Ovis aries: one gene and its partners. The protein of the gene in region 1 interacts with the protein of each later gene in a biochemical or structural test. Links are inferred from orthologs where the notes say so. Each region holds a gene or a part of one and is shown in the gene's direction. Other genes may lie near its edges.

What was found.
Region 2: the proteins of MAP1LC3C (region 1) and KBTBD6 form a complex in vitro, tested with the Homo sapiens proteins (2 studies listed by BioGRID and IntAct, with this or other methods). The link is inferred for Ovis aries from reciprocal best matches to the Homo sapiens genes MAP1LC3C and KBTBD6.
Region 3: the proteins of MAP1LC3C (region 1) and STK3 form a complex in vitro, tested with the Homo sapiens proteins (2 studies listed by BioGRID and IntAct). The link is inferred for Ovis aries from reciprocal best matches to the Homo sapiens genes MAP1LC3C and STK3.
Region 4: the proteins of MAP1LC3C (region 1) and NBR1 form a complex in vitro, tested with the Homo sapiens proteins (2 studies listed by IntAct). The link is inferred for Ovis aries from reciprocal best matches to the Homo sapiens genes MAP1LC3C and NBR1.
Region 5: the proteins of MAP1LC3C (region 1) and NEDD4 form a complex in vitro, tested with the Homo sapiens proteins (2 studies listed by BioGRID and IntAct). The link is inferred for Ovis aries from reciprocal best matches to the Homo sapiens genes MAP1LC3C and NEDD4.
Region 6: the proteins of MAP1LC3C (region 1) and SQSTM1 form a complex in vitro, tested with the Homo sapiens proteins (6 studies listed by BioGRID and IntAct, with this or other methods). The link is inferred for Ovis aries from reciprocal best matches to the Homo sapiens genes MAP1LC3C and SQSTM1.

Annotation. Positions count from the first base shown.
Region 1 is NC_056065.1:34,213,969-34,218,258, reverse strand, and holds the start of MAP1LC3C (microtubule-associated proteins 1A/1B light chain 3C), read left to right. Parts: upstream 1-1,490; 5' UTR 1,491-1,579; coding exon 1,580-1,637; intron 1,638-1,743; coding exon 1,744-1,799; intron 1,800-1,997; coding exon 1,998-2,104; intron 2,105-4,290.
Region 2 is NC_056063.1:11,708,823-11,712,936, reverse strand, and holds the start of KBTBD6 (kelch repeat and BTB domain-containing protein 6), read left to right. Parts: upstream 1-1,314; 5' UTR 1,315-1,606; coding exon 1,607-3,733; 3' UTR 3,734-4,114. UniProt on the Homo sapiens protein: As part of the CUL3(KBTBD6/7) E3 ubiquitin ligase complex functions as a substrate adapter for the RAC1 guanine exchange factor (GEF) TIAM1, mediating its 'Lys-48' ubiquitination and proteasomal degradation.
Region 3 is NC_056062.1:78,383,212-78,387,385, forward strand, and holds the start of STK3 (serine/threonine-protein kinase 3), read left to right. Parts: upstream 1-1,374; 5' UTR 1,375-4,174. UniProt on the Homo sapiens protein: Stress-activated, pro-apoptotic kinase which, following caspase-cleavage, enters the nucleus and induces chromatin condensation followed by internucleosomal DNA fragmentation.
Region 4 is NC_056064.1:42,917,185-42,920,684, forward strand, and holds part of NBR1 (next to BRCA1 gene 1 protein), read left to right. Parts: intron 1-211; coding exon 212-358; intron 359-848; coding exon 849-924; intron 925-1,444; coding exon 1,445-1,555; intron 1,556-1,809; coding exon 1,810-1,974; intron 1,975-2,189; coding exon 2,190-2,267; intron 2,268-3,421; coding exon 3,422-3,500. UniProt on the Homo sapiens protein: Ubiquitin-binding autophagy adapter that participates in different processes including host defense or intracellular homeostasis.
Region 5 is NC_056060.1:52,607,608-52,611,858, forward strand, and holds the start of NEDD4 (E3 ubiquitin-protein ligase NEDD4), read left to right. Parts: upstream 1-1,451; 5' UTR 1,452-1,951; coding exon 1,952-3,499; intron 3,500-4,251. UniProt on the Homo sapiens protein: E3 ubiquitin-protein ligase which accepts ubiquitin from an E2 ubiquitin-conjugating enzyme in the form of a thioester and then directly transfers the ubiquitin to targeted substrates. Specifically ubiquitinates 'Lys-63' in target proteins.
Region 6 is NC_056058.1:1,199,702-1,203,201, reverse strand, and holds part of SQSTM1 (sequestosome-1), read left to right. Parts: coding exon 1-108; intron 109-867; coding exon 868-948; intron 949-3,500. UniProt on the Homo sapiens protein: Molecular adapter required for selective macroautophagy (aggrephagy) by acting as a bridge between polyubiquitinated proteins and autophagosomes.

The DNA of each region.
Region 1 (4,290 bases):
CTCCAGGGGATCTTCCTGACCCAGAGATTGAACCCATGTCTCCTACATTGGTAGGTGGATTTTTAACCAGGGAATCCTACCTAGCTTCCTAGGCAGGAGAAAAGGCAAAAATAAATAAATAAATAAATAAATAAATAAGTTTTAATGGAGAAGTTTTAAGTAGTGAAAGTGAAAGTCTCTCATTTGTGTCTAACTCTTTGTGACCCCATGGACTATACAGTCCATGGAATTCTCTAGGCCAGAATACTGGAGTGGGTAGCTGTTTCTTCTCCAGGGTATCTTCCCAACCCAGGGATCAAACACAGATCTCTCGCATTGCAGGTGAGTTCTTTACCAGCTGAGCCACAAGGGAAGCCCATACAGAAGCAAAATAAACTACTTTTCTTTGTGTCTCTCCACAAACCTAGAGAATGTTTGGTTTTCTCTATGTCATCATTATTAGGCTGAAGACTTCAATGTCCGATGTCCTGCATGGAACAGAACCAGGGATGACCCATGAAAGTCATGGTACCTTCAGAGACCATGGAAGAAGTCCAAATGGTCCTATTTATTCTTAGGACATACCTGAATAAGATGGCAGGACCACTGTGCTCCTGGATGTAAGGTAAGGAGGTGATCAGCATCAAATGAGAAAGCTGAATCACTAGAACCATAATTAATGCATAAAAGAAGCACAATCAGGTGAAACACCCTGATCTGAGAATAAGGAGACCAGTGAATCAGCTTCTATGGATCTCAGTTTTATCATCTTAAATGCAAGATCCTGAGAATAACAACCAGTGTTCTACACACATTCCTAGACCTGTAAAAATATGAACAAAATATGTTGGAAATACTACTTTGCTACACAGCTGGATTTTAACACTGGTTTTACATATTTTTATCTGGACAAATTGTTCAACCTTTTGGGAATACCTATTAGTATTTCTTACTGTGAAAAATAGCAATATATTTCAGGATAAGGTGAATCACTATTCAATTTGCTTCATTACTGTAGTATTACAATGTCCTCACATGAAACTGTTTCTATCCATAACTTCTTAGCTTAGGCTCATAGGACCATTTATAGGGAGGACCAGTGCTTTTTGTTTTAGTCACTGTCATGTCGGACTCTTTGCCACCCCATGGCTCCTCTGTTTATGGAATCTTCCAGGCAAGAATACTGGTGCGAGTTGCCATTTCCTTCTCCAGGGGATATTCCTGATCCAGGGATCGAACCTGCATCTCCTGCAATCTCAGGCAGATTTTTACCTCTGGGCCACTAGGGAAGCCTCGATGATCAATGAATGACAATATAAAATTTAATTTGTTTAGCAAAAACAAAATTTTTAAATAGTAGTGAGTGAAGTAACTTTCTTGAACCAGCAACCAGGTGCCTGTTTCATTTCCTTTCTCAGCACTGACCTCCTCCTGCCCGGGGAGAAGGGAGGATTGGAGAAGGGTGATGTCACACAGCCCTACATAAAAGCCTCCTTTGGGCTCCTGCCGGCAGTTTGGAAGCAGCTGGAAGGATGAATTAGGTCCTGGTGGTGAGATTTTTTTTTTTTCCAGGCAGACACAGACACAACTGTTGAGCAAAATGCAGACTCCACAGAAAAGCCCAAGCCTCAGACCTTTCAAGCAGAGGAAGAGCTTAGGTAAAGCTCTCAGAATAGCTGTCTGGGTTTCGGCCCTTGAGACAGCAAGAGAAGGTACAGACTTCTGTATATGCCGATGTGCTCATTTTATCTTAAATGTTCACAGCAACCAGAAGAGAGGAAGTTGCTGGAATCAGAGTGAAGTTCCCTGGCAAGATCCCGGTAAGACTCCATTGTCCTGGGGAGTGGGAGTGAGGGTGAGGGCAGGGATTAGGGGGAGGGGGCTGTGAGAGCCTATTCAAAACACCAAAACCAGCCAGTGACCTCCTTCTTTCTAGTCCAAGTTCCTCAGACATAGAAAAGTGAGGTGTATCCTTTGACATTTGCTTCAGAGGAGATTCAGGTTGAAACCCTTGACAGGTGATAGTGGAGCGCTACCCCAGGGAGAAGTTCCTGCCCCGGCTGGACAAGACCAAGTTCCTGGTCCCACAGGAATTGACCATGACCCAGTTCCTCAGCGTCATTCGGTAGGTAGCTAAGAGCCTGGGGGGTGGGGGGGGGTGTTGTGTGGGCTTGGGCTTTTGGGACAATGAGAGATGGGAGGTGGCAGAGAAGGAGAATGATTTGTGCTCCCCCTTTCTCTTCAATATGCCTTTTGTGTGTGTGTGTGCGTGTGTGTGTGCATGTGTGTGCGTGTGTGTGTGTGTGTGTGTGTGTGTGTGTGTGTGTGGCTGTCCTGCATCTCCATTGCTGTGTGGGGGTTTTTCTCTAGTTGTGGCTGGCTGAGGCTACTCTAGTTCTGCTGCACGGGCTTCTCACTGTAGCGCTTCCCTTGTTGCAAAGCATGACGCTAGGGCGCGTGGGCTTCAGTAGTTGCATCACGTGGGCTCAGCAATTGTGGCTCCCAGGCTCTAGAGCACAGGCTCAGTGCCTGTGGTGCAGGGGCTGAGCTGCTCTGCGACATGTGGGATCTTCCCAGGCCAGGAATCGAAGAACCCGTGTCTCCTGCATTGGCAGGCGGACTCTTGGACTCTTTACCACTGAGCCACCAGGGGGGCCCCAACTACGCCTTTAAAAAGGATGATCTCATGAGTAACCAGTTTTAAAATGATGTCAAATATTTTGCTACCGCCCTAAAATAAATGAGCACTCCCAATATTGATGTATCAGCTATTTTTCCCTTTGTCCTACATTTTACTGGTACTGTGTTTTAATTTCTGCCTTCAAATTTCTCTAAGAATTTTTCAAAGGAACCTTTAGAAACTGGTCCAAAACCCTGTTTTCAGCTATTTTAAAAGCCCAGTGACAGCATTGTACCTCTAAATATTTTCCCTCTTGTGGCTGGGAGGGAATTTGGGGTAGGAAAATGCACTGTCCACCTGCTGAATCACTGAGCAGGAGAACCACACCTTCCCCCACATCCTTCTTTCTTCCATTCAGAGCAAGGGAAGGCGTAGAGTAAAACCAGTGTTGCTGACTTTGAAACTTAAGGGATTGAGGTGGTCATCTGCCAGCTGGACTCAATAAAAAGTGATATGAAACCAAAAATAGCTGACTAAGGGTTCCGTAAACATGGCTGGTGTGTGAGTCTCCCTGTGCTGGAAACAACCTCTCAAAAGTTTTGGCTGATGCAGACAGTTTCATCTGAGAACTTATTATGATGCTTTTTAAAATGAGCTCTTTCAGAAGGCCCTGCATTCTTCTCAGACCTACTTAAGGGTTAGGTTAATCCATGGAAATTGGGGCAACTCAAGGAGAACCACAGTCGGATGTAGACCCCTCCTTCTGTCAGCCAACAGGCTGCTGGGGCACAGCGTGGCTTCACCAAGAAGTGAATTTTGACACAACTTCCTCCTTTTTTCCATACAGGTACACCTCCAGTTATCATACGCTTCATCCTTCATCCTAATAATTTTGAATCTTTGTATGTATGTTAGTCACTCAGTCGTGTCCAACTCTTTGCAACCCCCGGGTCTGTGACTCACCAGGCTCCTCTGTCCATGGGATTTCCCAGACAAGAATATTGGAGTGGGTTGCCATTTCCTTCTCCAGAGTATCTCCTCGACCCAGGAGAACCTGATCTCCTGCATTGCAAGCAGATTCTTTACCATCTGAGCCACCAGGGAAGCCCTTGAATCTTTACATTAAGTCATAATGGGTGCTTAATATCAATATGTTTAGATGACTTGACTCTTAACCTTGTCATTAAGCACACTGATATTAAGCACCCATTATGTATCATGCACTGTGCTGGGAGCTGCACAAAGAGCAATGAAAAATACAGACCAAAAGTCCTATGCTAAACAAGATTTAAACTAAAGTTTCCACTCTTGGAGACTCCTCACCCTTAATAAAATGAGACCCTCGTGGAAGAAGAAAGGAGATGAAGGTGCAATGTGGAAATATAGGAGCCCCATCTTCAGATCTACACTTTCCATGTAGAACAGGCATTTGCTCACCACACGAGAGCAGTGCAATGGTCAGGGTCTGGTCTTTGGATTATCCAGTGTTAGTTAACCAGATTCTGAAATTACTTCCTCTCCCACCCACCACATAAATTTAGCTCCTCCTAGCTAAGAGTAGCGGAGAAGGCAATGGCACCCCACTCCAGTACTCTTGCCTGGAAAATCCCATGGATGGAGGAGCCTGGTAGGCCGCAGTCCATAGGGTTACAAAGAGTCGGACATGACTGAGCGACTTCTTTCACTTTTCA
Region 2 (4,114 bases), on another chromosome or scaffold:
AAGTAAACTGGTATACAATGAAATATTATTCAATGAAAAGAAATAACTATCAAGCCATGAAAAGACATTTGAAAAACCCTGCAGGTTTAAGCTTTGGGTTTTTTTTTTTTAATAAATAGATTTTAAAATCAGATTTTAAAGTTTATTAGAAAATTCAATAGAAAGCTTTATTAATCTGAATTGAATATTGCCAAGTGAAAGAATGTATATTCCAACTGCATGATATTCTGGAAAAGGTAGAACCAGACAATAAGAAAATTAATGGTTCTGAAGGGCTGGGAGGCAAGGAGAGGGAGGCATAAATAGGTTGAACAGAGGATTTTTTAAGATTGTGAAACTGTTCTGTGTATTATTGTCATGATAGGTACATGACATACATTTATGACATACATGTACATCATACATACATGTACACGACATACATGTTATATAGATACATGACATGCCTGTACAACACAGAGTAAATCCTAATATAAACTACATGTTTTAATTAATGATAGATAACTGTAAGTTCATAACTTTTTAACAAGGGCATACACTAATGCAAGATGTTGTAAACAGGTGAAACTGAGAGGGGGTGGAGTATATGAGAGCTTTCTGCAGCTTTCTATTGGATTTTCTAGTAAACCTAAGACTGGTCTTAAAAATCTATTTGTTAAATGCAAAAACAAAAAAACTTAAAAGGTATCTCTGCAGAAACCTGTAGGGTTTTTCAAATTTCCCCACAGGCTCATGGTCTCAAATGAGAGGGTGCTTCATTCTTCATGAACGCTAGAAGAAAAGCTAAAACTCATTAAGCCTTTATATCATGGGTACTGCGTATAAGTACATTACTCTGCTAATCAACAAATATTTATTTAAAGCAAGGAGAGCCAACCTACGCGATTTAATGCGTATATCACCTACGCGATTTATGCGTGTATCATCTACGCAATTTAGTTCGATCGTCATACAATGCTATGAAGTACCACTGCCATTAACGTTTTTAAAAAACAAGCGGCAGCTCTGACAGAAGCCAGACAACTGATAAATACAACAACTGGCATTTAGTCTGAATTCCAAACCCAAAGTTCGAAACCATAAAGCCGAACGGAATAGAATTAACCATTTCGAACTCCGTCGTCCGAAACAATGAACGGGCAACAAATCTCGCGATGCTATTGAAGCTACTACTACTCCCGATATGCAAAGCGGTTTCCGTGCCGCAACCTGTGCCGCAGCAGGTGCCGCAGCCTGTGCCGCAGAGTCCGCGGGGTCCCGGCATGCCTCGAGGCGCGAAAGGCAATCTGGGAGCCGTAGTTCTCCTGGATGCCTAGTGGTGGTGCCGGCGCGGAGGTGGCGGATCGCTCGCTTCCAGCCAGTAGGTCCTCTGAGGGCGAGCTGAGGCGGAGAAAGGGCGTGGAACTGGAACCCGGTGAGTGGGACGCGGTCTACGCGATCGAGGGAGGCGGCACCGCGGCAGAGGGCTGACTTAAATAAATGGACCAGTGCTGCAGTCTCTCCGGAGACACCGCGGTCTTAGCGTCAGCGAGAAGAGGGTGAGGAGGCGCCAGAACCTGGTCCTTGCACCCGTTCTCATCTTTCGCTCTCCGCCGCTCTCTCCATCATGCAGTCCCGGGAAGAAGCTTCGCGCTCTCGCCGCCTCGCCAGTCCCCGCGGCGGGAAGCGCCCCAAAAGGGTTCACAAACCCACGGTTTCGGCTTTTTTCACTGGCCCGGAGGAGCTGAAGGACACGGGCCATTCTGCAGCTCTGCTGGCCCAGCTCAAGTCCTTCTACGATGCGCGGCTTCTCTGCGATGTGACCATCGAGGTGGTCACCCCCGGCAGCGGGCCCGGCACGGGCCGCCTCTTCCCCTGCAACCGAAACGTGCTGGCGGCCGCGTGTCCCTACTTCAAGAGCATGTTCACCGGCGGCATGTACGAGAGCCATCAGACGAACGTGACCATGCACGACGTGGACGCCGAGTCCTTCGAGGTCCTGGTCGATTACTGCTACACCGGTCGCGTGTCCCTGAGTGAATCGAACGTGGAGCGCCTTTATGCAGCCTCCGACATGCTGCAGCTGGAGTACGTGCGGGAAGCCTGTGCCTCCTTCCTAGCCCGCCGCCTTGACCTGGCCAACTGCACAGCCATCTTCAAGTTTGCTGATGCCTTCGGCCATCGCAAGCTGCGATCACAGGCCCAGTCCTTTATAGCCCACAACTTCAAGCATCTCAGCCAGATGAGTCCAATTCGCGAAGAGTCCCTGGCAGATCTGACCCTGGCCCAGCTGCTGACCGTCCTGCGCCTGGACAGTCTCAACATCGAGCACGAGCAGACCGTGTGTCATGTGGCGGTGCAGTGGTTGGAGGCGGCTCCCAAGGAGCGGGGTCCCAGCGCTGCAGAAGTCTTCAAGTGTGTCCGCTGGACCCACTTCACTGACGAAGATCGGGGCTACCTGGAAGAGCTGCTGACCAACACCGTGGTGAAGAAGTACTGTCTGGACCTCATTGAAGGGGCCCGGCAGATGCGGTATGGTGACACATTGTGCAAGTCTCTGGTGCCCAAGCCAGAGAGCAGTGGTGGCAGCAGTGGCAGTGGCGTTGTTAGCTGCGTTGCTTGTGGTGGTGGTGGTGGTGGAGGTGGTGGTGGCGGTGGCAGCAGCAGCGTCGTTAACGTTGTTCTTGGCGGCGGAAGCAGCAGCTCCGTTGTGCCCATGGCTGATCATCCACCTCAGAGGCTAGGTGTGTATGCCAAGAAGATGGTGATCTTCTTTGGCCATCCCAGAGATCCCTTTCTGTGCTGTGACCCATACTCGGGGGACATTTACAAAGTGCCATCACCTCTGACCTGCCTTGCTCACACTAGGACTGTGACCACCTTAGCTGTCTGTGTCTCTCCAGACCATGACATCTATCTGGCCGCCCAGCCCAGGAAGGATCTCTGGGTGTATAAACCAGCCCAGAATAGTTGGCAGCAGCTTGCTGACCGCCTGCTCTGCCGGGAGGGCATGGACGTGGCATACCTCAATGGCTACATCTACATCCTGGGTGGTCGGGACCCCATTACCGGCATTAAACTGAAGGAGGTGGAGTGCTACAGTGTCCAGAGAAACCAGTGGGCGCTGGTGGCTCCGCTGCCCCATTCCTTTATTTCCTTTGACCTGATGGTCATTCAGAACTATCTGTACGCTCTCAACAGTAAGCGCATGTTCTGCTTTGATCCCAGCCACAATATGTGGCTGAAGTGTGTTTCTCTGAAGCGCAATGATTTTCAGGAAGCCTGTGTCTTCAACGATGAGATCTATTGCATCTGCGACATCCCTGTCATGAAGGTGTACAATCCAGTCAGAGGAGAGTGGAGGCAGATTAATAACATCCCCTTGGTGTCGGAGACTAACAACTACCGGATTATCAATCATGGCCAAAAACTGTTGCTGATCACCTCCCGCACCCCGCAGTGGAAGAAGAACCGGGTGACCGTGTATGAATACGATGTTAGGGGTGACCAGTGGATTAATATAGGTACCACATTAGGCCTGTTCCAGTTCGATTCTAACTTTTTTTGCCTCTCAGCTCGCGTTTATCCTTCCTGTCTTGAACCCGGTCAGAGTTTTCTCACTGAGGAGGAAGAAGTACCTAGTGAATCCAGCACTGAGTGGGATTTAGGTGGGTTCAGTGAGTTGGATTCTGAATCAGGGAGCTCAAGCTCTTTATCTGATGATGATTTGTGGGTTCAGGTAGCCCCTCAGTGAAATGCACAGCAGAGTGTGTTACAGATAAATTGAAACACTAAGGTATTTTTACTGCTTTGGAAAGTATCTTAAAGAGATACCCTTTCTCTTTGCTGGAAGGAAAAAAAAAAAGTTGATTAATTTCAAGTTTGGCTTAGAAAGGGTATTGTTTGAAATACTAATATAATATCACAGAATTTAAACATCTTTAAAAGAAATCAACCTGTTTAATAATTTACTGTTCTAAAAGTCCAGTGTGGATTTGTTTGGTATGTTTATGTTTGACAATATAAGTTAATTGTAATCAGTAGTCTTCTATGATTAAATCTTACATTGTCTTGTGCCACAAGTGTTTCAACTTGAATTTTAATTTCTACACTAAAAAACTGATTGGATAGGAAT
Region 3 (4,174 bases), on another chromosome or scaffold:
GCCACACTGAATGTAGTGCATGAGAGCTCTCACTGCAGTTAATAATTTTCTTTTTAATTAGACATGATCCATAAGCATCCCGAGGACCAGGGGCTGGCTGGGGGAAAACAACCAATAATCATGAGAACTAGAGAGGGAAGCGTTGGCAGTTAGCAGTACTTCAAAAGGTTGCTTCAAGATGTTTGGAAGGGTATCCTTGGGAAATCCAAAGAAACGAGTCAAATCAGATAGGGTCAAAAGCAGTGAAGGCGAGTGAGGAGCGGCAGCTTCGGGCCACTGGAAAAGAATGTGTCCCAGGCCAGCCGAGATTGGCTCTGGGTCCAGACTAGGCCTCAGCCTCTCGCCCTTCCACTCCGGGTTTCTTTCCTCCCGACTCCTGCACCAGGGCCGGCCCTGTCCTGCGCCCCGGCCCCAGCGCCCGGCCCCGCCCACCGCACTGGGCCGCCGCCGGCCCCGCCCACCCATCCCTGGCCCGTGGCCGGCTCCGCCCACCCTTCCCCGGCCGGCCCCGCCTACCCTTCCCCGGCCAGGGCCGGCGGCCGAGGGGCGGGGCGGGCCGGGAGGAGCCCCGCTCGGCCCGCGGGCGGGGGATCCGCCGCGGAGTTACGGGAAAGTTGGTCCGAGTTCCTGGAGTTTCCTGCTGTGGCTCTCCTGGCTCGGCCGGCTGGTGCCCCGGCACTCTGCCCGCCTCTCGCCTTCGCCGCCCACCTGGTCCCTCCTTCTGACCCTGGCCGCCATGGAGCAGCCGCCAGCGCCCAAGAGGTAAACGAACGCGGGGCGCGAGGAGCAGCAGGGAGGCGGCGCCGCCGGCCGCGGGGCGGGGGCGGCTAGGCCGGGCGGGACCGCGATCCCCTTCCCGCGGCTGCGGGGCCCCCAGCCGGGCGCGCCGGGGGTCGCAAGGCGGGTCCTAGCGCCGGGCCGCGCCTGTCGGTGGGTGAGGCGGGGCAGGAGGGGAGGCCAAGCCTCGAGTGCCCCCGGCCCGCCGGGCCTGGCGCGCGCGGGGAGAGTCGGTGGGCAGCGCTGGGCGCCCCGCGGCCGGACTCCGGGGGCGGGCGGGGTTCTCCCTCGTGTCAGGTTCAGCATCTGGGAGACGTAAAACTAGGAAATTATTGGGCTTCGTACAACCATCAAGGCTTTCTTGTCAAATATTTTCCAGAATGTTGCCCACCCCCCACCTTTTTTTTTTTTTTGAGAAAGCGGGTTATTTATTTACAGTTCAAGGAATTAAATATTAATAGCTAGACAGTGTGTAAAACTTAACTGTGCAAATGCTGCACTAACAGGTGTTCCTCGCCCCTTACTCTGCAAGTTCAAAATTATTTATGGATGCCGGACAGTAGTAGTCTTAAATTAGAACCCCTCCCCCATATGTGTGTGTGTGTGTGTGTGTGTGTGTGTGTGTGTGTGTGTGTATGTATAGGTTTGTTTTTCTTTTAGCATGTAAAAATAGTGATGCTTTGGTATTTACTGTTCGTTAATATTCTCTGGTATATTGGAAAAGTAGCAGTTGAAATGGTCTTGAAAAGCTAAATCAAGGCTGTCCATTGATACAAATTTGTAATGTGTATTTCCCCCCATAAGAGTGAATCAGTTGATTGATGTTGGATAAAGCATTTCAATTTGTAAAATAAGGGTACCAATCTTTCTCGCAGATAGTGCTGTTGTGAAGAGTGAATAGAGTTTTGATAGCTAGAGATCTTTAGATGAAAGGCGATATATTCAAGAATATGGAATAATTGCAAAGGTAGGAACTTCATGAGCTATTGTGAATTGTGTGACAAGACATGTGAGCCTTGAAGCCTGGGAACCATCTGTTCAGGTGAAAAAGGGGGGTTGTTGGGGAGTTTCCGAAAGAGACCTGCTGTTGGAGCCCTTGATAAATTCTTCTCTGGCATTTTAAAATATCCCAATTCTGAATATTGATTTGGCACTCAGTTTTAATACTGTAACAACTGGAACCAGTTTTCCCCCCATTTTGTTTTGGAAGGACTGTAAAGGGTACCTCTGAGATCCTACAGTAAGGCCAAGTTGAATGACTCTGAATTGAAGGAGAAACTCTATTGATGAGCTCTACGCCAAGTTATGAGAATTTCACTGTAGATTTAAGAGCGAATTAGAGAACCTGGAGGGGTTGGGGGAGGGGTGGTGGTGTGTACCACCATCCGTTGATGACTTACACTTTTCAAAGTGGTGGGTTGCACGTTTAAGAGACGTATTTTTAGCTCTCTTCAGAGAGACATGTTCATCCAGGAAGGCATTTCTAAAGCACAAAAGATATGTGACAAATCCCATATGTTTGAATATCTCTTAGATTTTTTTCATAGCGTTTTCTTTTCCATCCTATTGTTTATAATCCTTAAAGCAACCCCATTGAGTAGGTTGGATTATACACGTTAATCCTGTTTTATGAGATGAGGACACTAAAGAGGGTTCACCACATGGAGGGCTATGACAGAGATAACTGACAGTGAATTTTTGTGTTGTGCCTCTTAATGATTGCCCTCTAATAATGAAATGAAGCTACCATTTTTTTTGCGATCTTAACTATTTGCCAAGAATTTTGTATATACATTCTTTTACTTCGTTGTCTCAAGGAATAGGAATCCTGGCTCTGCCACGTACTGTGCTAGTTCTGAATTTAATTTCTTCATCTGTAAAATGTGTTTGGAGTAAATGAGGTCGTATGTAGAGCACTTACAGTACAGTGCTTCATAATATGTTCAATAATGTTAATTGTCTATATTTTCCTCATTAAATGAAACTTGAAAGTGAAGTCGCTCAGTTGTGTCCAACTCTTTGCAACCCTATGGACTGTAGCCTACTAGGGTCCTCTGTCCATGGGATTTTCCAGGCAATAGTACTGGAGTGGATTGCCATTTCCTTCTCCAGGGGATCTTCCCGACCCAGGGATCGAACCCGGGTCTCCCACATTCCAGGCAGACACTTTACCATCTGAGCCACCAGGGCAAGGTTAAATAACTTGGTCGGGTGGAGGAGCTGCCAGTGGAACGCTTAGCACAGTGCTTTATAATATGTTCAGTAATGTTGAGCTGCAAGGGTTGTGTCCCCACTCATTGTGTCTCCAGTGATGCCTCTTTTTGCAACCAAAACTCTGCTTGCTGTCTTAGCATTCCACAAGCATCTCTTTCGATAATCTTGTCCCCTTTGCTTGTTCTCCTTTTAATCTCTGTAAGAATTCCACTTCGCTTTTCTGCTGTGAGTAGCTCTTCCTTAGGGCTCAGACATTATTACATGGTCACAAATGTGTTGCTGTTGATCGAGTCTATATGACCAGTAGCTGCTTCGTAGCATTTTTGGTTTCTTCATGTGGATCCATTTCTTTCCTTATCTTATTTAGTTTGTCACTACATCATATAAAATTTTCCATCAGAAAGTCTGTGTCTACCCCCTTTCATTTCCAGTATTACTACCCCATTCCATGGTTTTAAGACCCTTAAGAGTTGATTTATAGCAGTGCCTTCCGGTTGGGCACAGTAGTTCAGTGCTTATCAAAATATTTTAACAGCAGAAGAGCTGTCTTTGGAGTAGAGGCAGAGCCGTAGGACTTGGTTCTCAACGCCTCACCTCCCTCTGTTCCCCTTTTGGTTTCGTGTGGAATCCTCTGCTGATCTATATTACACTGCGTTAGTTCATCCTGCACGCAGCTTCTGTTCTGATTTTTTTTTTTTTTTCTTAAACATCACTTTAGTCATACTCCTCCTTATTTTGCAGGCGGGGGGAGATTGGGGCATACTCGCTGACTGGTACCCAAGAGCTCCATAGCTTGGTCTCAGCCTTAACCCCCAGCCTTGTTACTTCTGCAAGCTGAATCTTTCCTTCTAAAGTCTCCCTATTGTTCTTTGTTTAGGTTATAGGCTGTGGGTACTCCCAGGTTTGCCTTTGTTCATGATTTTCCCTTAGAAAAGTTTGTGTTATTTATTATTATTATTTTTTTACTAGTAATCTATGTTTTATTCAAAGCCTGCTTCATAAAGTATCTTATTTGAGTGCTTTCTAGCCTAAACTGTTTCTCTTTATTCCTATAATGATAATCATTTGAGTATCAATCTTAAGATTGTTCTTTTTTTTAATTACAAAGTTTTAGACATCCAAAAGATAATGGGGATGAATTTAGTAAATACTTACATATCACCACTCAGCTTTAGAAATAAAA
Region 4 (3,500 bases), on another chromosome or scaffold:
ATCTAAGTTACTGTCATTAGGGGAAGCTAGATGAAGGGAGTAATTAGTAAACTCTCTGTACTCTTTTTGCAGCTTTTTCATAGAAAAGTGTGAAATTAAAACAAGAAGTTTTACTACATACAGTGCATTTGACTTTAGGGAGGCAGCCGTCAACTTGCTTTTTGAGTTCTGTTGAGGGCCGAAAATGTGTCCCAATGGTTTCTCTCCATAGGAAGCTTTTCTGGGTAAAGAAGAAATTCTGCCTGGTGAAACAACTGAGCAGACAGAAGGGACAGGAACCCACATCCCACAGAAGGCAAAGAGTGCTGCCAGCAAGAGGGAGCTCTACATCCCATCCGTGGATCTTCTGACTGCCCAGGTGGAAGATTGAGCATTTTGAGGGGAAGGGACAGAAAGCCCTGGGGAACAAGTTCTTAACTTGTTGAAGGAAAGCGGGTAGAGCCATCGGTGGTGCCCAGGAAGTTAGAGATAGACCCACTCTAATCTAGTGAGATGCGTCAAATGGCAAGAACATCCCCAATGGAAGCAAGTTTCTAAACTAAATGTTTCCTCTTTGAATTGGAAATTTATCTTGTGCTTCCCACAACTTCCCCTTCACTGCCTCTTCTTTCTGCCTAACTGGTTCACCTTCACCCCCACTGCATCTGCTCTCTCTCTTCCCAGTGGCTATTTGAATGTTTGGTTCCCATTAACTCTTCTTGTTCTCACTTGACTGAGATGAGGCATGAATTTGAACATGAGTTGCATCTAGGACGATGTGGAGCTCAGTGGCCTTTAACACAAAACACGGCTCTAGCATGTGTTGCAAGTAGCCTAACATGCCCTCCCCCCCTTTTTTTTTTTTTCAGGATCTGCTGTCCTTTGAGCTATTGGATATAAATATTGTCCAAGAGTTGGAGAGAGTGCCCCACAACACTCCTGTGGGTAAGAATGTCATTTGGTCCACCTTGTTTATTAACAGGCCCAATAGTACTGCCCCCCTGACTCTGGTAGTGACTATGTCATTCGGAGATATTAGTAGGCAAGGATTTCTCCCACAATGTGATATTAAAACTGCACCCATGGGCCCATTTTCCATTTCCCTATTGTCCGTCAGAGGCAACAAGTTTGTACAGAGTTTCTCCACCATAAAGGGACCCTCTTCTCCGTTTCTCTCTAGGCGTTTGTGTCCCTTTGTTACTTTACATTCATGGTTCTGTGTCTTGGCCATGGTCTTCCAAAGCCAAACAACTGTTTATGATCCTTCCTGTGTTGATGGACCTGTCTGAGATACTTGTGTACTTGATGGTCTGGAGAAATTCTTTACAACAGGCCTTGAAGCGTACCTGGGTTTATTTTAGTTCTGCAGGAGGCAGGAAACCTAGAAGGTGCTGCTTCTGGACACTGAGTATTGATGATGCAATGCTTTTTCTTGGTTGATGGTTCTCCTATCTTCATTCTCCAGATATGACTCCCTGCATGTCTCCTCTGCCACATGACAGTCCTTTAATAGAGAAGCCAGGCTTGGGGCAGATACAGGAAGAGAGTGAAGGGGCGGGATTTAAAGCACTTCCTGGTAAGGGGTTAAATATTTGTAAAGCATTTGCATCCTCCCCTTCCATACCACGCCCTGTTGTTATCCATACCTTCTACTAACCTTACCTTGGTGTGTGAACGGGTTTTCCAACGATCTGATTTTTTGAAGTCTCCTTACCTTCACATAGCACAGACAGCAGCTATTCCTTGGCATCATATCAGCATGGGGACATGACTGGAGAAAGCTCTGCAATACTTTAAACACCAAGTGCAGACAAAAATTGTCCTTTCCAGATTCCACAGTGTCAGTAAAGAAAAAGGCTGAGAATGTTTCTTCCGTGGAGGAACCAGAAGATGATTTGAGTGGGACCCAGTTCGTGTGTGAGACTGTCATCCGATCCCTTACATTGGATGCCGCCCCGGATCACAAACCACCTTGGAGACAGAAGTCCCCGCATAGTGAGTGTCCCTGAAATTCCCGGACCTCACCCCACGCCCCCACTGGGGTGACGCCTGACTTGAGATTGCCAGACCTGAGCAGGTAGAAGTGCTCTTCTTTACTCAGAGTGGAGACGGGAATCTTTGTTAGAGGTTGGATCATGGTTGTTCGTTTAGACTCTACATGTGCATCAGGAGCAAAGCAGCTCCCGTAATTCATTTCTGCACTTTCCCAGGGGCTGAATTACAGCTGTATGCCACAGAGGAACAGCAGCCAACTGTGCTGCCTGGGTTCTGCAGTAAGAAGTCGTCTTGTAAGTGGACGGAGCCCCTCAGCAGAGAACCCTCCCCCGCCCTCCCACCCCCACCCCCACCCCCAGCAGCTGAGTTGTCTCATTTCTCCAAGGGCAGCAGTCAGGAAATAGTGGGCAAAACAGGAGCACCAAGCTAAAACTTCTTAGGGTTAAATTCTGCTGTCATAAATTTCTTTGTGGCAGAATTTCTAGAGGTCAGATAGGTAGAACCAATTTCATGTATTTCAGATACTATTCAAACACTCAAATTTTAAAACTATGTATTTAAAAAATATATATGTATTTCCACACACACACTTGAGTACAAATGGATAACAAAAAAAGTCTAAACCAAGTCTAGAAGAACTTACACCAAAATGTTCACAGTAGTTGTCTCAGTAAGATTACCGGTGGTTTGTTGTTATTTTTTTCTCAACTCATCCATGTTTTGCCAGTTTTTCTGTCATGACTACTCATTACTTTGCAAAGAGGAGGAGGAAAGGAGTCAAAAGTAGTCATATAGTCCTGCAGTACTTAGCACCAGATGTTTTCTCTTCTCATAGCACTGTTAGCTACTTTAGCAGTTTCGATTTGAAACCATCCCAATATGATAGGGGCTTCTCTGATAGCTCAGTTGGTAAAGAATCTGTCTGCAATGCAGGAGACCCCCAGTTTGATTCCTGGGTCGGGAAAATCCACTGGAGAAGGGATAGACTACCCACTCCAATATGCTTGGTCTTCCCTTGTGGCTCAACTGGTAAAGAATCCACTTGCAATGTGGGAGACCTGGGTTCAGTCCTTAGGTTGGGAAGATCCCCTGGAATAAGGGAAAGGCTACCCACTCTAGTATTCTGGCCTGGAGAAGTCCATGAATTGTATAGTCCTTGGGGTTGCTCTGACAGTTATGTTAGCTGTCACCTGAAAGGGAAAAGGAAAAGGGCCTCCTTGTTTTAAGGGTCATAGTGTTCTCAGAAGCTTTATTGTTTCTGCTGACCTTGTTTTTATGAACTTTGGTTCTTTTCAGCTTCAGACTTTGAATATGGCCCTTTGGTTTGTCCCTCTCCTCTGGCTTTCATAATTATAGCTCATGACCCACAAGGCTTGGTATAGGGTAGGGAAAGTACGAGGGACTGTTCTTAGCTTGTACCTTAAAATTGGATGCTTTCACCCTTTAGTGAAATTTGCCTTACCTGAAGAGGGACCACTTGCAGACGAGAGGGAGGAGATTGTCCAAGTTGCTGAAGAAGAGGCTGT
Region 5 (4,251 bases), on another chromosome or scaffold:
CAATTTTATTACTAAGTTTACAACTGTACACATTCTAAAACATAGTAGTATCTCATTCTAGTCAGAAATAGAATCTAGTAAATTCCATATTTCTGTTTTGTCCTGTCTTAATTGATTAAAAATGCTGTTTAGAAAATTATGATTGAGAACAGATATATCCTAAGTTTTCTTTTTTAAACAAAGTGCAAGTATATGTTTTACATATTTGCTTTTACTTAGGAAAAAAAGCTTACTTAGGAAAGTACAACTTGGGTGTAGTACCATGTGGTGTAAACAACTGAACTATTTTACTTTTTACTTTCCTATGAATGAGCCAGTATATATTTATTACTGGAGTTCCAGCTGTAAAATTCAGGTAAGAAGTTTAAATATACCCTAGAGTATTATTTTAAAATAAATGTGTTTCTTTCAAATAGAATACCAACCTTGGTCTATGACATTTAGGGGAGAAATTAAAATATTAAACTTTTATTACCTAGTAAACTGAAAATAAAGTAAAGGTTAAATAAATACAAAGCAGAAAAAAATGTATATATATACAAAATCACAACGTCTAAAAGGACAAACAGTTTACTGTTCTCTCCTGCGGGAGCTTTATCAGCAGTAGTAAGTAATTCCATCTTTAGGTCAGTGCTAGTACTCAAAAATGTAAACAAGTATGTACTTTGTCTATATAAAGAAATATGCCATACGGTTTATACTTCTTTATAGATATCAAACAACTAAATGAATTGTTTCAATGCACCAGTAGGGGCCAGCAAAGAGCTCTTAGAGTTTTTCAGAATAGAGTTGGCATTGAGATATGTTTATTTGATGTGTTAAATCCTTTTTAGACTTCTTTACTTACCACAACACTCTCTTAAGTGAATGAATTGCATAGACAGTGGAATAAAATATCTTGTGTGCTCAAACTATATTAGGGTATAGTTTTTCTGTCTAATCTGCATATATTTTTAATGGAATGTTTGCTTAGGCTATTTCTTGGCAGAGTTTTAATAGTCAAAATATAAATGGAATCATTTAAAGACTGTACTGCTTGGCTGGAAAGGCCTTAAAATTACAGGAGAAAATGCTTGGTGACAGCTTCTCACAAACGTTTTTTTTCTCAGACCTATGCTCAATTTTTGCAATGGTATTACTAGGCAAATTTTGTATTTCGATCCTTCAGCTTTCACTTTTTATAAGTACGTAGTGTTTTGGAAACTAAAATATTTATGTTTGGTTTAATGCTAAACTTTCAATTCACCCCCGCAGTTTTGGTGTTTCCAAATATATACAAACATTTGAACTTTCTCCTTTTAAAAATATTAACAGTCTATATTCCTTTCTACATTTACTAAGTTGACTGGATTCCTAGTATGGCCACTATTTGGAAATGCAATCCTTGATTTGATACTCAATTACATGGAGTTTCGTTCCTACCAACTTCCTGTAATTCTATCCCTATGGGTAAAAATATTAGTGGTCAAACTCTGCTGGAGAAAGTATAGGCACCGTGATTCACAGAGTTAAATGTTCATTTAGTAGAGCTGGAGTGAAAAAAATACTGTTTCAACTTGAAATGCTAGAAGATTGTTGTTCTTGTGTTACTCATTCATGCAAATTGGAGAAGGTATAATTGAAACAAGGTTGGCAGTGTTTGAGGCAGTGTGCTGCAGCTGAGCTCAGCTTAAAGGTCGCTGGAAATCAAGTGCTTTGTAAGTGAAGGCATTTTGACTACAAGCGATTCAAGACATTTTGGAAACGTCAGTCTCAGGAATGGGCCGTCTTTTTCTTTCATATGCTATCTGGTCTTTAAGATTTTGCTTAGGATAAAGACTACTACTTCTGAGCTCTTTCAGGCACACAAATGATTTTTTCTTTTGCTGCAGTGCAGCTGCTTCTAGCCTGTCTACCGACAGAGATCTTTGTTATGACTCTCAGCCCTTAACATGTTTGGAAATGAGAACAAATGGCACAAAGCTTACGATTGCACTTTGCAGCCAGAAGAAGCAATACTTATCCTTTGTCAGAAACCTCCGGAGATGATTTGGATAGCAGCATTCACATGTGCTTCACGAGACCAGCACGGATTTCAACGGCGAACGTGGTTCAAATGAAGCTGACTCCCAAACAGACTGCATTAGCTCCGTTAATAAAGGAAAACCTTAAGTCTCGGGAAAGATCATCTTTTCCTTCACCTGAAAATGTTCATAAAAAGAGCAGCTGTCTGCAGATATCATTACAACCAACAAGGTACAGTGGATGTCTTCAGTCTGGCAATGTCTTAGCTGATGGTGATGATGCTTCATTTACTTGTGTCTTAAAGGATGGCAGTGCTGTGGTTGATAACGAACTGAATGCCACGGATGATGGTAACCTCTTAAGCAGTCCTGCCATTTGCAGTGGTAGTCTTGGTAACTTTTCAGCCAGTGAAAATGGGTCTTACAGCAGCAATGGTAGTGATTATGGGTCCTGCACAAGTATCACCAGTGGAGGTTCATACACCAACAGTAGCATCAGTGACAGCAGTGGTTATACTTTTCCACCAACTGATGATACCTTTTTTGGTGGAAATTTATCTTCTGACAGCGCCTCCAATAGAAGTGTGCCAAACAGGAATACTGCTCCATGTGAAATTTTCTCAAGTACAAGTACAGTTCCCTTTGTCCAGGATGACTTGGATCATGGACTAGAGATTATGAAATTGCCAGTGAGCAGGAACTCGAAAATTCCACTAAAACGTTGTTCATCCTTAGTCATTTTTCCTAGGAGTCCTTCAAATACACCACCAACTTCTCCAACAAGTACAGGTACTCTTCCAAGCAAAGGATCCTATCAGACCTCACACCAGTTTATTATTTCTCCTAGTGAAATTGCCCACAGTGAAGATGGCACTAGTGCTAAGGGATTTCTTTCAACAGCTGTCAATGGACTTCGGTTATCCAAGACAGTCTGTACTCCCGGAGAAGTAAGAGACATACGACCTCTTCACAGGAAGGGCTCATTACAAAAGAAAATCATTATTGCAAATACTAGTCCAAATCAGACTGTCTGTGAACAGCCATCTGAAGGATATTCTTGTGTTTCACTGCATTTTACCCAACAGAAAGCAACTGCATTAGATTGTGAAGCAGCAAATGGTGATTGTAAACCAGAGATGTCAGAAACTGAGCTTAATTCTGATCCAGAGTTTATTAAGCTTATGCATAGGACATCTGCATGTTTACCATCCTCCCAAAATGTAGATTATCAAATAAATATCAGTGGACAGTTGGAAAGACCAAATTTACAGATAAACAAAAACCATGCTCTTTTACAGAGAAGTATTTCATTGGGGGGAACTTATCCAAATGTTTCCTGTTTATCTAGCCTTAAGCACAATTGTTCTAAGGGGGGACCATCTCAATTACTCATAAAGTTTGCATCTGGAAATGAAGGTAAAGTTGATAATTTAACCAGAGACAGCAACAGAGATTTCACAAATGAACTACCTAATTCTTTAAAGCATTCTTATAAGGTAAGTTTCCTTTGGTTTTGGAAAATGTTAGTTTATACTAGAATAGCTCTGTGAAATATTTGGTAAAATTTATTATAACTTGGCTGCTTTATATATTTTCTTGGTCCTTAGCTAGCAAGTACTTTGTAGTCATGAATTTGATATTTGTGAATCTGAAAAGTGCCTAATAGTTTTTTACTCTATTTATTATTTTATCAGCATACAAGATATGCATTAAAAAAAAACCTTTCCAAAGTGATTTAAGCCATAAAACATTCTGTAGCATAAGAACAGGCTTTAAATAATAATTTTTTAATAATATTTTGCCTTAGTATATTTTCCCTTAGTATATTTTCCCCTTGAGTGGCATGGTGTTTTAAAGTCTAACTCCGTATTTCATTCTTATTTTCAAAAATGCTCATTTAGTATTTATTTTAAAGCATTATAAATGCTTTAAGCATTAAGCATTTTGAAAAAAAAGCCCTTTTAAGCCCTCTTTAAGCATTATGAAAAAAAGTAAAATATAGAAAGCCACTTAAAGTATTAAACAGTAAAAAGTCTACTTAAATGTGAAACTTTTCTTATAGGTGAACATAGAGAAAATATTTCTTTGAAATACATATATTTATTTGATCATTGATAAAAACTATTATACTGAATGTTTAAAGCAGAGGAAAAATAAATGGTATTTGCATTTGTATATACCCTTAACCACAGGAATTTTGTTCCACCCTGTTTTTCTTTAGCTACCAGTTAAGGGTGCCTTCTAAAAT
Region 6 (3,500 bases), on another chromosome or scaffold:
AACATGGGCACTTTGGGTGGCCTGGCTGGGAGATGGGCCCACCGGGGAACTGGAGCCCACGTCCTCCTCAGGCAGGGGAGGCCCACCCTGGCCCTGCCACGGAATCAGGTGAGGGTTGTATCTGCTGGCCTCTGAAGGATGAGATGTGAGGGCCTGCAGAGCTGGAGGGCTTTCCCTGTGCCCTAAAATCCTGCATGCCTGTGGCTGGCCTAGGCACTTTGTGGCCGTTTGTGCATTTAATCCTCATAAAATCCTGCAAAGTGCAAGCATCATCTCCATTGTACATCTGGGAAAACTAGTGCCTCGGTGCTCAAGGCCACTAATGCACCTGCCCCGGTGGCCCTCCCATGCAGGTGGGAGGCCCCTCCAGCGCCTGCGTCTCCAGTCGGCTCTCTTCTTGTTCATGCTAATTGTTAGGAAAGTCACAGCCAGGTTTGCTCAAGTCTTGTAAAACAGTTCCCAAGTTAAAAATTTACACATAGCTTGCATTCTGAACTTTTAGATTCTAGTTTTATTCTGATTTTATTAGTATTACTATGTCCTTTGACTCACCTTGTCCTTAGTGACAAAGATGAGGGTATTTGTTTGAGTAAATAATGCTTTTTCCGGGGGAGGGGTAAATAATACATTATACTCTGTGTACAGAGTTTCTAGGCACCAGGAAGGTAGATGAAGGGGGAGTGGTGTGAAAGACAAAGGGGCCTAGGAGGTGGCCTAGAGAGGGGGAGAGAGGGAAGCAATAGGGTATAGGCTGCTGGGAACAGGCCCCGGGAGTAGGGCTTCTGGGACAGACAGGACTGTGACAGGTTTCAGTCATTGAGAGAGATGCTTTGAATTAAAAGTATCTTTTGTTTTTTGAAACCAAAGCCTCTGGTCCATCAGAAGATCCCAGTGTGAATTTCCTCAAGAATGTAGGGGAGAGTGTGGCGGCTGCCCTCAGCCCTCTGGGTAAGTGCCCCTCCTTTGACATCAGCAGAGCGTTTGGTAACCAGTGTACAGGCGGCTGTTCTGTGGCTTTCAGCTGGGATACTGCAGAGGAGGGGCAGCTGATGTGTCTTTGAGACCAGTAAGGATTCGCTGGCCTCATATCAATCAGTCTTGACCAAGTGCTGCACCACAGGCCGCTTGAGGTTGAACTCCCTGACAAATTCTTTAGCTTTCCACACAGAGTGAAGTGGAATCAGCCAAGAATCAGCCAGCATTTGGTTGGGTAATCCCACTAGGGAGGGTAACCAGGCTCAGTTTAAGGCTGCCCTTCATCTTCTTCCTTTGGAAGACCACTCTGTATTTCTCCTTACTTGAGCCTTGGGGTTTCTTTGAGGACTTCAGTGAGTAGTTAGCTGAGATGCCATATTGCTTTTCTTCCCTTTTCTGCAACCCCCAACCTTTCCTGGTGCTTCCTAAGAACTGGGCTTGTGCCACTGTCAGAGGGAAAGGAGTGAGGGAGGAAGGTTCTCGTGTCTGCTGCTGGATTCCCAGGGTGCAGGCCCAGGGTGGGTGTCTGGGTGGGTGAGCTGTGCACCTTCATAGAGTGACTTGGCCCAAGGCTAAAAATAAAACTTCAAACAGCACTTGCTGTGTTGTGGCCATAAGAATCAGCTGATGAAGGTGACTTATGATGGATCCATGATGCCATCTTTGTGACTGCAGTGGCAGGAAGTGTTACCTGGTCTGTCCAAAAGTGGTGTCCAGTGTCTGAAAGAATGCTGTAGGAGGGTGTCCAAGCTCACCCACCACCCGCCCTGTGGCTCACAGAGCATGACTGCCATTGCTTCCAACCTGAGACCATTTCTGCTCACATTGAAGCAGCTTTGAAGTAGCAGTGACATCTTGGCATCACTGCTACATGAAATAGATCTCACACAATTTCTGCATTGGAGTTAAAGACTTTTGAGCAAGTGAGGAAAAATAATTAGTATATTTAATGCTTTCTAAGGAGGGTAACAGTGGAGTAGAGATGAAATAATTGGGAGATAGGTTATTCCTAAACTCTGCCACTCACTTAAGACATAGTGAAGACATAGTAGGATTTTAAGTAATCCCAACTAATGGGTTGTTACTTAGAGGCCATGGAAAATTTTTCTTCGGAAGATAGTAAATGGACAGTGGTTCTCAAGTGCACTGAACATCAGAATCACCAATGAAAGGTTGATTTTTATTTTTTGTTTTTGTTTTTTTATGGGAGGGTATATATTTTGGTGTATGGAAACTCTTAAAACTGATTATCCTGAAGAGAAAAGTTTTCTTTTGAAAGAATGAACAAGATAACTTGGGAAGTCACAAAACCACATCTACATTCAGGCAGGAGACTGTAAAACAGTGAGGAGTTCCAGGTCCCTTGATTGGTTAAGTGGATTTTGGGTAGGGCATGAGGGTCGATGTGTTCTGAAGGCTTCCCAGGAGACTGTCACACTTGCTTTCCATCCTGAGACCCATCTGAGCTTGTGAAGTGTTTCAGAACTGGACCTGGATTCTCCACTCAGGACACAAGGGAATAATTTTAGAAGTGTTCTGAGGTCTTCGGCAGTAAGAATTAAGGCTCTCAGGTCTTTCAGAGTGGCGGGAGTGCTTTCTGCTAACTTGGGAGGAGTCTGGAACCCTACAAAACAAGTTTCAGTGGAATGTGTGTTTGAGTAGCTATTCAAGAGAGCCATTCGAGGGATGGATTAAACTCTGTCTTTGGAGTTACAGGTATTTTCCTTTCTTTTGAGGAACTAACAGGATAACTCAGTCTACTAACTGCTTAGAAGGGAACATTAGTTCCAACAGCAGGGGCCCAGGAGGGATATAACCACTAATACCTCTCAGAGGGCAGTCTGTACAGTGAGTCAGCGACTGAGACCTTTTTTTGATAAGTGCTGTGAGAGCCAGCTGAGCAAGAGCATGAGCCCAGGGCTGTACCTGGCTGGAGGTCACAGCCACTGACTCCTAGGATGTAAAACAGCAGGGCCGTGGAGTCTTCCACAACCCCTACATAGAGGCTTTGGGGATAGCAGGGCAGAGACTGTGGTACAGTCTTCTAAGCCCTGAAGTCTCAGATTATCATCAAGTTGGAAAAACTCTAATTCAGTAATCTCGAAAATTCATTACAGAAGAGTCGCATCATTCACCCATTTTAGAAAGTATATGGGTATCCATTGTACTGTTCTTCTGTCTTTTCTGATTATTTGAATGTTTCACAATGAAAACTGCAGGGGAAATGGAAGAAGAAAAACAATGTAAATATTGCAGATGGGGTACCAGTTGCTAAGCCTGCTTTTATTTTCTCTGCTTGCTCCTCATACTCTACTAAAATAATAGTGAAGGGGTTAAACAAAATAAAGCAACATGGATAAAGAAAAAGGGAAAAAAATAATGGAGGACAAGATAAAACAATCTCATCAAACTTTGGAAGATGGAAAATGGATGGAGGAAAGTAACCAAGGTGGGATAATTTGAGGATTAATCCTGGAGGCCCAACATAGGATGAAAGAATTCCAGAGAGAACAGAGTAAACTGAA